Oryza sativa Japonica Group: one gene and its partners. The main gene of each other region encodes a partner of the protein of the gene in region 3 in a complex. Links are inferred from orthologs where the notes say so. Each region holds a gene or a part of one and is shown on either strand. Other genes may lie near its edges.

What was found.
Region 1: mediator of RNA polymerase II transcription subunit 30 (region 3) and mediator of RNA polymerase II transcription subunit 21 share a complex: the UniProt entries of both Arabidopsis thaliana proteins name them as parts of the mediator complex. The link is inferred for Oryza sativa Japonica Group from reciprocal best matches to the Arabidopsis thaliana genes AT5G63480 and MED21.
Region 2: mediator of RNA polymerase II transcription subunit 30 (region 3) and mediator of RNA polymerase II transcription subunit 4 share a complex: the UniProt entries of both Arabidopsis thaliana proteins name them as parts of the mediator complex. The link is inferred for Oryza sativa Japonica Group from reciprocal best matches to the Arabidopsis thaliana genes AT5G63480 and AT5G02850.

The regions. Positions count from the first base shown.
Region 1 is NC_089042.1:2,024,949-2,029,048, forward strand, and holds mediator of RNA polymerase II transcription subunit 21, read right to left. Parts: upstream 2,822-4,100; 5' UTR 2,707-2,821; coding exon 2,383-2,706; intron 2,082-2,382; exon of another isoform or gene 1,999-2,081; intron 1,862-1,998; coding exon 1,790-1,861; intron 1,517-1,789; coding exon 1,465-1,516; intron 1,351-1,464; coding exon 1,274-1,350; 3' UTR 1,263-1,273; intron 794-1,262; 3' UTR 560-793; downstream 1-559. Other genes in the region: major pollen allergen Ole e 10, read left to right, coding at 1-116, 209-234. UniProt on the Arabidopsis thaliana protein: Component of the Mediator complex, a coactivator involved in the regulated transcription of nearly all RNA polymerase II-dependent genes.
Region 2 is NC_089043.1:25,716,224-25,719,723, reverse strand, and holds mediator of RNA polymerase II transcription subunit 4, read left to right. Parts: upstream 1-1,300; 5' UTR 1,301-1,375; coding exon 1,376-2,620; 3' UTR 2,621-2,941; downstream 2,942-3,500. Other genes in the region: histone-binding protein MSI1 homolog, read right to left, coding at 500-1,123. UniProt on the Arabidopsis thaliana protein: Component of the Mediator complex, a coactivator involved in the regulated transcription of nearly all RNA polymerase II-dependent genes.
Region 3 is NC_089038.1:19,469,262-19,473,446, forward strand, and holds the start of mediator of RNA polymerase II transcription subunit 30, read right to left. Parts: upstream 2,853-4,185; 5' UTR 2,783-2,852; coding exon 2,366-2,782; intron 1,937-2,365; coding exon 1,859-1,936; intron 183-1,858; coding exon 84-182; 3' UTR 1-83. UniProt on the Arabidopsis thaliana protein: Component of the Mediator complex, a coactivator involved in the regulated transcription of nearly all RNA polymerase II-dependent genes.

The DNA.
Region 1 (4,100 bases), on a different chromosome or scaffold from region 3:
TGGCAGCCTGCCGACGCGGGCGTCGGTCACCATGAACGCTTACTACCAGGCCAGGGGGAGGAACTCATGGAATTGCTTCTTCAACGGCACTGGCCTCATCACCATCACTGATCCCAGTAAGTATTAGCCTCTTCAAAGCTTGCTTCACTTGCTGTTTCTTTCACCTGAATCCTGCAAATTTACATGGCTTTCTTGCCAACCTTTGCAGGTTCTGGCAATTGCAAGTATGCCTGAGTTGAGAGTTTGCTCCAAGTTAGCCAGCCAATCTCTGGAGCTTGACAAATAAAGTTTTCAAGGGATGTTTTGTTTGTCCAAGTGCCCCTAGAAAATATGGTGTTCTATATTTCAGTGTCAGAGTTGCTAGAATTCAAGTCATGTTTAGCCTCAATGTTTGGGTAATCTTTAGAGAGGAATGCTTTATACCGAGATAATATTGTTCCATATCTTCAGTGCAGTTCTTCAAAGTTCAAAGAGTATGAATCCTAGGCATGTCTTAATTGTATTTGCATAGCACTATATGGTCCTGTGCTGCTGTGAACGAACAGTGGCCCAACTATAATAAATAAACATGAAGTTATGCTCAAATTATTTCAGATTAAACGAACCAGCTTGAAACTATTCAAGTTACTGTAAATTACAGTGCTAGGTTTAATTCCTAATCCAACAAGTACTACTGGAATATTGTTGAGCATCAGCTAACTTGATACTAAAACTGAGTCTACATGTAGCATCGGCAGCTGGCATTCACATCTCCACCTTCATCTGTTCATGACTCCAAAATGGGTTCCGTTACCTGATATGACAGGAAAGCAAACATAAGTCATTTTAGTGATACTACGATCATACGTAACAACACTGTGTTGGAATTTTCTGATCAACAGAAAGACAAGCCCCCAGAGGGTTTTATGAAAGCATCTTGCGAGGGATTAATATAACAGGTCAACATCCACCATAATTATGTTTTGTTCAGGCCATCATCGTACATAAACTACATAAACCAATAATTGATCATGGACATGATGCCAACAGCCATCTAGTAAATGGTGCATGTAGAATATTGTACTGCAAAAAGCACCATAAGAACAAAATTGTTATCAGTATCCTGACTTCCTGATAATACAGTGTACCAAGTTTGGGAAGTCAAGCGGATTATACAGCTGGTCACAAAATAATCCCATATCATAAGCGCAAGCATAATTTTTTGCAAGCACAAAAAAAGCTAAAGATTTATTGAGATAGTGAAGGGAGAAATCCAAACTTACATTGATAACTATTACTCTGGCTTCTTCAAGTTTATACAATGATCTGTAGCTTCATTAAAAAGAGCCTCAACTTGCTTCAGCTCCAGCTCTACAAAAGCAACAAGACATGTAAAACACTGGACTTGTAAATAATCAGTTGTAACATGGTGAGGAATTATATAATGAAGGCAAAATATTCCAAGAATGTAATAGCAAAGCATACCAGCAGCTTCCAGTTGTTTCTGAAGCTCTGTGCCTACAACTTCATTCTCTGCCTGCGCATTTCAAATTCATAAGCATTTTAGCTGCAGGACACAAGTATCATGAATACTGATACTATGGCAGGACATGCTGCCGAGCGTCTGCTAAACCTTCATTCAGAAGAAAGCAAGCGACTAAGGAGGACAACCTTAGTATGAAACTCCATCCACAAGGCGTAGGAAAAAAAAAACAGAAGGAAACATGCACAAAGATACCATCTTCACAAGACACTAGCTTAATGTCACCCTTTCACAATGTACTGCTCAGAGGGCAAAACTGAGACATACCTGTAGCTCTTTAATTCTTTTCAGCTGATCCTCTTCAGATGATAGTGGCAACGCAGAAACAAGAGCATCAAACTGCATAAAAAAACCAAAAAAAAAAGAGAACGGTATTGGAAACAGTAGCTAGTAGCACATTTCAAGTGTACTCTCAGATGCAAAGTTTGCCCTCTGGAGACAGAGGTTGGTGTGCTGCATACCATCATCCCACCTACATTTTGCGAGGAACAGTACAAAGATTGGTGTGATCCACATCATCGTCAACCCTTCTTTGCGAGGAATAATATGAGTGAAGCTCCTATTTTGCAGATCCATTCAAAATTATCTCGAGAGGGCTAAAAAACAGCACAATGCAACTAAAGTACTCTACCACACTACATGAACAATCTCACTATAGAAGATATGATTCTGTAAGTAGAAGAATTTTCAAAGAACCAGGCACCCTGACCGTGGTTGCAATCACACAAAAATGCTAAGGCTGGTCACACCAAAAATTACAGTCCAAGCCCTAAAGCGTCAGACCCCAAGAACCAGCAGGCACTCAGGCATTTCATCGAGCAGGTGGCAAGCAGAGAAGATAAGCGACGGAAGACGCGTACCTTCTTGGCGGCGAGGACGAGCGCGTGGCTCATGGCCTTGGGATGCTCGGCGAGGTCGAGCGCGGGCGGCTGGGCCTGCGCCGGCGGAGCCTGTGCCTGCGCAGCCGGAGCTCCCGCCGCCGCCGCCGCCGCCGCTCCAGGCTGCGGCTGGGCGGGGTCGTCGGGGTTAGGGTTTGCTGCTGCGGCGGCGGCGGGGTTGAGCGGGTCCGGGTAGTTGTTGGAGAGGCGGACCGGCGGCGCGTCCCGCTGCAGCGTCCCGAAGGTGTTCACCGCCACCATCGCCATCTCGTTCAGCTGCTCCTGCAGCTGCGAGATGATGTCCATCTCCGGCGATCTCGTCCCCCTCCTCGCCGCCGGCGACCTCCTCCTCCTCCTCTTCTCCCTCTCCTTCTCTCTCCTCCTCCTCTCTATCCACCAAGGCCCAATTACATCTAGGCCCATCAAAGAAAACTGGTGGGCCCAGCACATCGACAGTGCGCAAGCCACTCTCTGACTGGCACGTGGGCCCATGGCTAGCTTGATTACGAAGGAACCAAGGGACCCCACGCGGAAAATTGCATCACATCACCACCACGCGTCCAGATCTGATCCACACACAAATGGATCGGACGGCCCAGGATTAAACCAAACTATTACTAACAATTAACTCACCCGATTAGTTAACACTAATTGAATCGGACTTGGACTCTAATCTAGACTAATATAAAAAGCACGAGTTGTTTAGTGTAATTAACACCATGATTGCAATTAGCGCCGGATTAATCCTGCGGTTACAATTAGCACCGGATTAACACCGCGTCTTGCTCCGAAAAAAGAAACTGCACGCCAAAAAGAACGAAAAAAAGAACGCACGCCAGCCACGCCGCCCGCCTCACCTGCCGCCCGCGTGACTTCCCACCTCGCCTCACCCGACCATGCCAGGCCTCGCCGCCGCCGACAATGTGACTTCCCACCTCGCCTCACCCGACCATGCCGGGCCTCGCCGCCGCCGCCGACCATGAGCCTCACCCGCCGCCCGCGTGACTTCCCACCTTGCCTCACCCGACCATGCCGGGCCTCGCCGCCGCCGACCATGAGCGAACTCCACGAGCAGCGCCAGCGACCGACCCACGCTGCCCGGATCGGAGGCGAAGGACAACAGCCCGGGGCCGCCTTCATCGACGCCGTGCGCGCCCAGTCGATCCACGGGAGCGCGGCCGCGGCCGCAGAGGCGGCGGGGGAGCGGTAGGTGATGACGTGGACGCGGCTCCTCGTGCTACCGGCGAGCGGGACAGGAGGAGGAGGAGGAGCGCGAGGGCGGACGCGGCGGCCGCGGCCACGGAGGGAGCCTATCATGGAGGAAATGGTCTGAGGAGGAGGAGGAGCTAGGGTTGTCGCAGCCTCTTCAATGGTGATCTCCTGCAGGAGGCGAACGGGAGCAAGTATCAGCAGCAGAAGCTGGGTGGTGTGCCCTCGTCGCAGCCGCATCATCTGAATGTGAGTGACTCCACAAGAACGAGAACCCTGAATTGAATCTGACATTTACCATTGTTCTTGCATCATTCATCCAGTGGTAACGTTTTACATGTCTTGGATTGTTGGATGACATTGATTTCAACACTGGAAAATTGTTGTTTTTTGCTTCGGGACAGCAGCAAGTTACCCCAGCATTGACAGCCTGCAGATCGACCACAAGCCGGCGACTGCGGCGGGACGCCAGTTCGGCTCGGCCTCCTCTC
Region 2 (3,500 bases), on a different chromosome or scaffold from region 3:
TCATGATGTTTGCTAATCAGCTCAGGTGCCTTCTAGAACGCTCACATAAAAAAAACTCAGTGATCTGTTTATGCATAATAGAATTGTTCCTCACACCAAGAGATGATTGTTTGTGCTTAAAATGCAGCTATGGAAATGGAACCATGTTCTCTTCTCGACTAGTTATTCAATTGCTGTGTCCTTTCTCCTACGCAGTGCAATTATCTACTCTGGAATTGTGCAGTTATTTCAGTTATAATGATTCTCTTCCAACATTTAGGAAAGACCAGAAACAGTTCAATTTCATTATTTCAATATTGTTTACTAAGAGATCTGGCAGATCAAAATTTGTTTACTGAAAAAAAAAAGGGGAAGAAACAATCGAAGCATCCTTACTAAATGAATTGGATTATGAATTACGAATCATTGCTCAACTGCATCGTATAATGTAACATTTAACGACTGTAAATGTTTACTGCAAAATGGAATGAGGGGAGGGGGGCATTTGACGGCGCATTACCTCGAACACATGATGTGCATCCAGAGACGAAGCTCCACTCCCAGCAGCGAGATCCCAAAGGCAAATCTTCTTATCATACGAGCCGCTCAGCAGCAACCCCTCCTTCATCGGACTCCACGCCAGCCCATACCCCTCCGCTTCATGCCCCCTGAGCACCACATCGGCGCCGCCCTTCTCGCCGCCGTCGCCAAGATGGTACACGTGCACCTCATCCACGCAGGTCTTGGTAGCCACCGTGTACGGCCTCTGCGGCATGCAGCGGGCGCGGTTGACCTCGCCCTTGTGCGGCACCGAGCGGGAGATGGACACGGACGGGGCCGGGACGGCACCGCCCGCCGCCGCGGCCGCCGCCGCCAGGCGGGGCGGGAGCGGGAGGGCGGCGTCGGCGAGTAGGAGGTGGTTGGGCGTCTCGTCGGAGGTGTGGGTGCCGAGGACGAGGCGGTGGGAGCGGGCGGAGCCCGGCGACCGGGAGTGGGAGGGGAGCCACTGGACGGTGAGCGACGGCCACTCGAGCGGCTGGGAGATGACGAGGTCGTAGAGCACCGGCGCGTTCTTCTTCCAGTTCTGGTGCTCCTCCATCTCCGCCGCCGACGACCTCGCCGCCGTGGAGGACCCGCCGTCCATGGCTCTTCTCTTGCGAATTGCGCGGGAAGTGGAGGCGGCGCTGTGGTGCTCTCCCGCCAAAAAGATTGGGGAGACGATGCGGCGGAGTCAGAAGAGATGGTGTTTTATGGCCGAGTTAATGGGCTTTTATGGGCCGTAAAGCCCATATAATACAATTTGGAGGCCCATTAGCCCATTAAGAGGAAATTTTGTCTAGTAGCTTCTGCCTCGCGTCCGTCTCCTGCATCCGCAGTCGCCGCCGCCGCCGCCGCGATGATGCAGTCGCACCACCCCTCGCCGGCGCGGCTGGGGCTGACGGCCTCGTCGCCGTCGCTCCCGCCCAACCCGGCTGCGGGGAATCCCACCTCCTCGCCGCCGCAGGGCAACCCTAGCGCGGCGGCGGCCGTGGGCGCTGCCGCTGCCGCTGCACCAACCCTAACTACATCGCCGTCGCTGCTGCCGCTCCTGCCGCCGCTCCCGCGGGCGCAGGCGCTCCTCCAGCTGATCTCCGCGCTCGCCTCCAACCTCTTCGAGCTCTCGCCGAGCCGCGCCGCGTGGATCTCGGCGTACCGGGGGTCACTCCCCACTTTCCTCCCCTCGCCGTCCTCCGCGCCGCCGCCGCCGCTCCCGGCCCCGATCTCCTCCACCAAGGAGGCGCTGTCGCTGCTCAACACGCTCCAGACCCAGCTCTTCGAGGCCGTCGCCGAGCTGCAGGAGACCCTCGACCTGCAGGACGCGCGCGCGCGCCTCGCCCGCGAGGCGCGCGCCAAGGACGCCTCGATCCTCGCCTTCGCCAAGAAGCTCCGCGAGGCGCACCACGTGCTCGACCGCCTCGTCGACGACTACGCCGACTACCGCCGCGACCCCAAGCGCCCGCGCGGCGCCGCGGCGGCGGACGACCCCGAGCCGGTGTCAGACGGCGACTTTGGCGCGTCGCTGCACTCCAAGCTCAACCTGGACGACGTCCTGACGTACGCCCACCGCATAAGCTACACGACCTTCGCGCCGCCTGAGCATGGTGCTGGGCTGCCTCTGCGTGGGGCGTTGCCGCCTGCTCCTCAGGAAAATGAGATGAGGATGTCGCAGCTGTATCAATTTGCGGATTTGGATGTTGGAGTGCCGAAATCCCAGGAAGCAAAGGAGAGGACTGCAGCAGAGGGAGATGCCACTCCGCTTTTTCAGCCTTCACCAACCCAGGAGGCAGCTGTGCTACCAATCACTGTGCCGCATCCGCATGGGTGGCGGAACGGGGCGCTGCCTCTCGAAATCCCGTTGCCGCCGCCTGGATGGAAACCCGGGGACCCGATCACTCTACCGCCGGATGGCATTCTGGCTGGTGTCAAGGGTGAGGAGCCACGGGCCAGTGTGCAACAGATGCCGGTTGTGGTGCCAGCAATGGTGCCGAAGGCACAAGAACCGATACAGGTTCGGCATGTTGATCTTGACATTAACAATAGTTCTAGCAGTGATGAGTACAGTAGCGACGTCGGGAGCTCTGAAGAAGATGATGAGGATTAGTTCCTTGGTAAGCTATTTTATGATTCATGTTTCCATGCCGTTGTAGGTCATGTACTAGTAAGAACAAATAATGCAAGCTCTCATACATGATTATTCAAGATCATGCAGCAATATACTGGTATTGAATAGAATTGGGTGGCGTATCATGTATGTGTTGATTAATTAAACCATCTCACTAGTCAATTTGCTTCGATATATGTAATCAAGCATGATGGTCTAATTTCCTCAGGATGTGCTGGTGTTGTATCGTCAGAAACATGGCTTCTTTTATGGATATTTAAACTTGAACATGGTGTGTTTAATGTTTGATGCCCTTCTTCACAGATTACAGGTTTCAGTCATAATTGCTTGCTAGGCTTGCTAGCTGGTTATGGGCTTTTCAATCAAGTAATGACTTCCATGTTCATGCACTCTGCTTAATTTTTCTCATTGTTTTACCTTATGTCTGTACCTCTTATTGCTGCAATATAGTTTGAAAACCTTTATACCATTGTACCAAAGAGTGGTAGCTGAAAACTCAAGAATGTTCTATAACTCAAGCTATATAAGTTATGAGAAGGGAGTGGTTTCAACTTGTAAGTTTGCACTTAAATGAACACACCATTTTTCCTATCTTATTGCACAGCATGGGGGATCTTCCTACTACAAACATGATACTAGTACTATAGGTCTTAGTTTTCATTCACGAGCTTATCTTGCAGATGATAAAGTAGTAATTGACTCAAATGGGTTAGAACTGCCAAAGCATCATCAGAAGTAACTCCTTTTATAATTTTATTGGTGCATATCGCATCTTTATGTACTTTTTTTTCCCAATTCAAGAGCTGCATGGTTATCAAAGCGGTCTCATCGTAATTTCAGTAGCCTTAGCAGGGTTTCC
Region 3 (4,185 bases):
TCAAGGTCAGCTGATACAATTTTGCATTAACATACTTCTAGCTATGATTTTTGGATTCCTAAAGGATAAATGCCGATGAGTTTTCACACTGAGCAAGGACTCTGCCACATTGATATGTCCGATATTAAATCATGGAGTTGGTCGATAAGGAGCTTTACATGCTTGTTTTTGCTTTCAATTTCCTGCAGTAAACATCCTGTATTAGACTGGTTTACGGTACCAGAGAACAGTATGCCACATTACTAGGTTGAAACAAAAAATGTATTATATATGTCAAAAGCGTGAGGACTCAAAACTTCCACAGACCATGATACCACGGGCATATATAGAAATCTGAACTAGGACACATGGGATCAGCTAATTGAGATTGTACTGACCAGTGTATGTTTAAAATGAAATGCTTTGAACTTTTTAGGAACAAACTATGTAATCGAGGCATTAGAGAACACTGTTTGCTACATAGTTATTAGAACTAGACCAGACCAGTGGTCCGATCAGAAAAAAAGGGAACCAGGGCGTTGGCTGGTCCAGTCCAGCTAAAAGATCGTTGAGCAAACAGACCGGCAAAAACCCATTGAACCGGGCGGTTTTCTGCAGAACCAGACAAAAACCGAAGGTGGTTCGACTGCTGGAGGGTGTCACGTGGAGTTAGAGAAAATAGGAAAAAACCTGCTGAACTGAAGATCGAACCAAGACCTCCTTGCTTCCACGGAGAGTCTCAGCCGGCTATGTCACATGTTGTTCTAGTATTCTAACACACATCTATTTGAACCGCTTTAAACCGGCGGTTTGACTGGTCCGACCAATAAACCAGTGAACCGAGTACCCTAACAGTTCGATCACCGGTCCGGTCTTAATAACTATGGTTTGCTACACTTCAAACATAGGAGTACATGAAAATCACTGATCTCAATAAATCATACAAATGGAACTGAATAAGCCACAAATCCATTTTTCTATACACATTTATACACATCAAGGAGAATAATCTGTATTTATGCTATAATGATCTAGCATAGATAAGGAGTAGTTGAGACTTACAAGGCCATTACAGCCAACAGCCCTCCAAAGGATGAAAAGGATTTGCTAAATAGTCCAGAATCCAATTAGCATCAAAGGTGGATTTGCAAAAACTTACTCCCTCTGTCCCAAAATAACAAACCTAGTAACAGACCCCTATCCAGATTCCTAGTATTAGGGTGTGTCACATTCCATACTATGTTTATTTATTTTGGGACGGAGGGAGTAAGTTCTAAACTAGCAGGCAAATCCAAGTATGCAAACAATAATGACATGCAGTATCCAGTGCAGAAAAAACAATGATAAGATAACAACTTAACAAGCATGAATATTGCCAGGAAAGATCAAGATGGAACGCTTTTTTGACGAGTTCAACAGAATGAACATGACTATCCAAAACACTACAAGCAACACAGTATCACAGCTTGCCAAACTAGATCCTGGCTATCTAAAATGGTTTCAGGTAAAAATTGGGGATTACACTCTTCTCAGGACTTTTTGAATTAAAATGATTGAAGCATAAAAGGAACATATATATATATATATATATATATATATATATATATATATATATATATATATATATATATATATATATATATATATATATATATATATATATATATATATATATATATATATATATATATATATATATATATATATATATATATACACACACACACACACACACACATTATGTTCAAAACAGGTTGTTTGGGAAATATTTGGGATTGACATGGCTAAATAAGCACCAGTTACCAACTGGTTCAGGGAAAAATTCTGAATACAGCAAAATGATATTGATTATATTGCTAGAACATTCCCAAGATAGTACCTTTCTCAAAGCAGATGCATGTTCTTCCAATCTCTCAATCTCAGCTTGATCAGCTTTGTGTTCTGTCGATCCCATCTCCTACGAAGAAAACCACAACATCATTACAAAGAAGTAAACTGTTATGAGGTTTCTCCATAGCACCATATTTTGCACATCAGGATTACACTTACTGCTAAAAATAGAATCATATAAAACTACTATTTTTGTCTCATGAACATTGAACACTAAAAGCTCATGTTGATTGAAACATATATATAGTCCACATCCATGTAGTCCGAACCTACATCACAACATCCCTTACATTCCCTTACATTGGTATCAATAATAAGAAATTTTCTTTTGCAAAAATTATTTGGCTCCCTTACCTATGTATAAGCACCTAACTTGATATCAACAAAGAGTGCAATACGTTTCACAATTTCCACTAGACGATCACTAGAAACACGCATTTCGTGGTTGCATACATACTACGGGAGCATGCAATGTCGGGTAAATTCGTGTGCTGACCTGAGCACAGGACGACACGGCGGCGATGGACGTGCGGAGCGCCGCCATGGCGACCTTGTACCGGTGCCTGGCCTCGTCGAGCGACCCGCCGGAGCCCGGCGCGCCCCCGGGCCCTCCCCCGGCGGCGTCGGCGGCGTCGGAGTCCGCGGAGTGCAGCGGCGGCGGCGGCGGAGGGAGACCGCCGTGGTGGTGGTGGTGCTGGTGGTGGTGGTGGTGGTTGTTGCCGTGGTGCTGGAGTCCGCCGGCGCCGCCCGCCGCGGCGGCGGCGGCGGAGGAGGAGGACCAGAGCGTGGGGTTGCAGAGCTCGTCGTTCATGGAGGAGAGGATCTGGAACGCGGCGGCGATGGTCTCCTCCAGGTGGCGCTGCCCCTCCGCCGCCATCTCCTGCCGCCGCCGCGCCGCCGCCGAGGAGGCCATCGCCGGAACCCTAGCCGATCTGCTCCTCCTCTCGTCGGCGCTGGCTGTGAAGTGAACTAAGCTTAGCTTCAGAGCCCAACATAGTCCAAAAGCCCAAAGGATATGTTGATTTTGGGCCGAAGCTCGAAGCCCAGGCCTGGCCTTATCAGGGCCCTAGTATTTGAGCGGAATAAGTCCAATTTGTCTCCCTCGACTATAGGTCCAATCTGATTCGTTCTCCCTTAATCGCAAACCGTGTATATCGAACCCTCGGCTATTAACACCGGTGAATAAAAAAACTCTTTTTAGTTATTTTGAGGGTGGTTTTCGTTAACGTGGCTCATTGAACTGGTCTAACCGATTAAGTCAGCATGTGGGACCCACATGTCGTCCCCTTCTCTTTCTCCTCATGCTTTTGTTTTTTCTTTTCTTCCCTCTCCTTTCTCCACGCGGTGACGAGCTCAAGCATGAATAGTGTCAGTGACTTAGACGACAAAGCCACCACCGACACAACCAACTAAGCTTGGTTCTGTTGGCAACCTTGTGGAGCAAAGGAGGGAAGGGCCACAGCGGTGATGGAGAGTCGGAGAGGCCCAGTGCTGCCGTAGATGTCCTCTTCATTGTGGGCTCCAACGGTTGCCACACCGAGGCCCCTCACTGATCTGGACAAAGCCGGGTCCCATCAGTGTTTCTCCTTCACAGATCCGAGCCTCAAGCCACTTCCCCTTCTCTCTGTCGCCTCCTCTAATCCGACGTCCTTTTCCCACCTTCACCTCTATCAACGCCTCGGTTAATAAGGCCTAGCAATGGACAAGGATGGTGATTGACCTCGCTGTCATCGAGATCTAAGAGTCCTTCTCCTTTATATGTTGTGGAGCCATACATGGCAATAGTGAGGGAGAGAGAGAGGAGGGTCACGTGCATATCTCTGCATGGCCAAGGGATAGCCACCACCCGTCGGAGGACAAGGGGTAGATGTCGACGAGCTCTTGTAGTCATCATTGCCACCGAGGGGGAGGTCATCCTCGATGGCTCGCTGGAGCACGTCGTCCATGTCGTTGACCTTAATGACAGACTCAAGCTGTAGGCAATGGCGAGCACATGCCCCCTATCCTTGGTGGGCGTGGCAACCTTGTTCCGCTACCGTTCTTGGTGAGGGCAACGAGGCAAATCCAATGAGGCAAGCGAGCTCGATCTTGATGAAGCTTCTCCAGAGATAGGAAATGTCGACATGTGTGTCCTCGATTGCTGGAGTCCAACGTCTCCCGCCCGTCTCTAGCCACCTCTTAGACGACACTTCGTTTGCTCCACCGTACCGAAGAGCGGTGGTCGGTGTCCTCTCCTGATCCCAGGAAGGGGGTGGAATGGGAATTGGGAAGAGTCACCTTCGTCAGATGCTCAGTGGCATCCCTATCGTCTTCCCT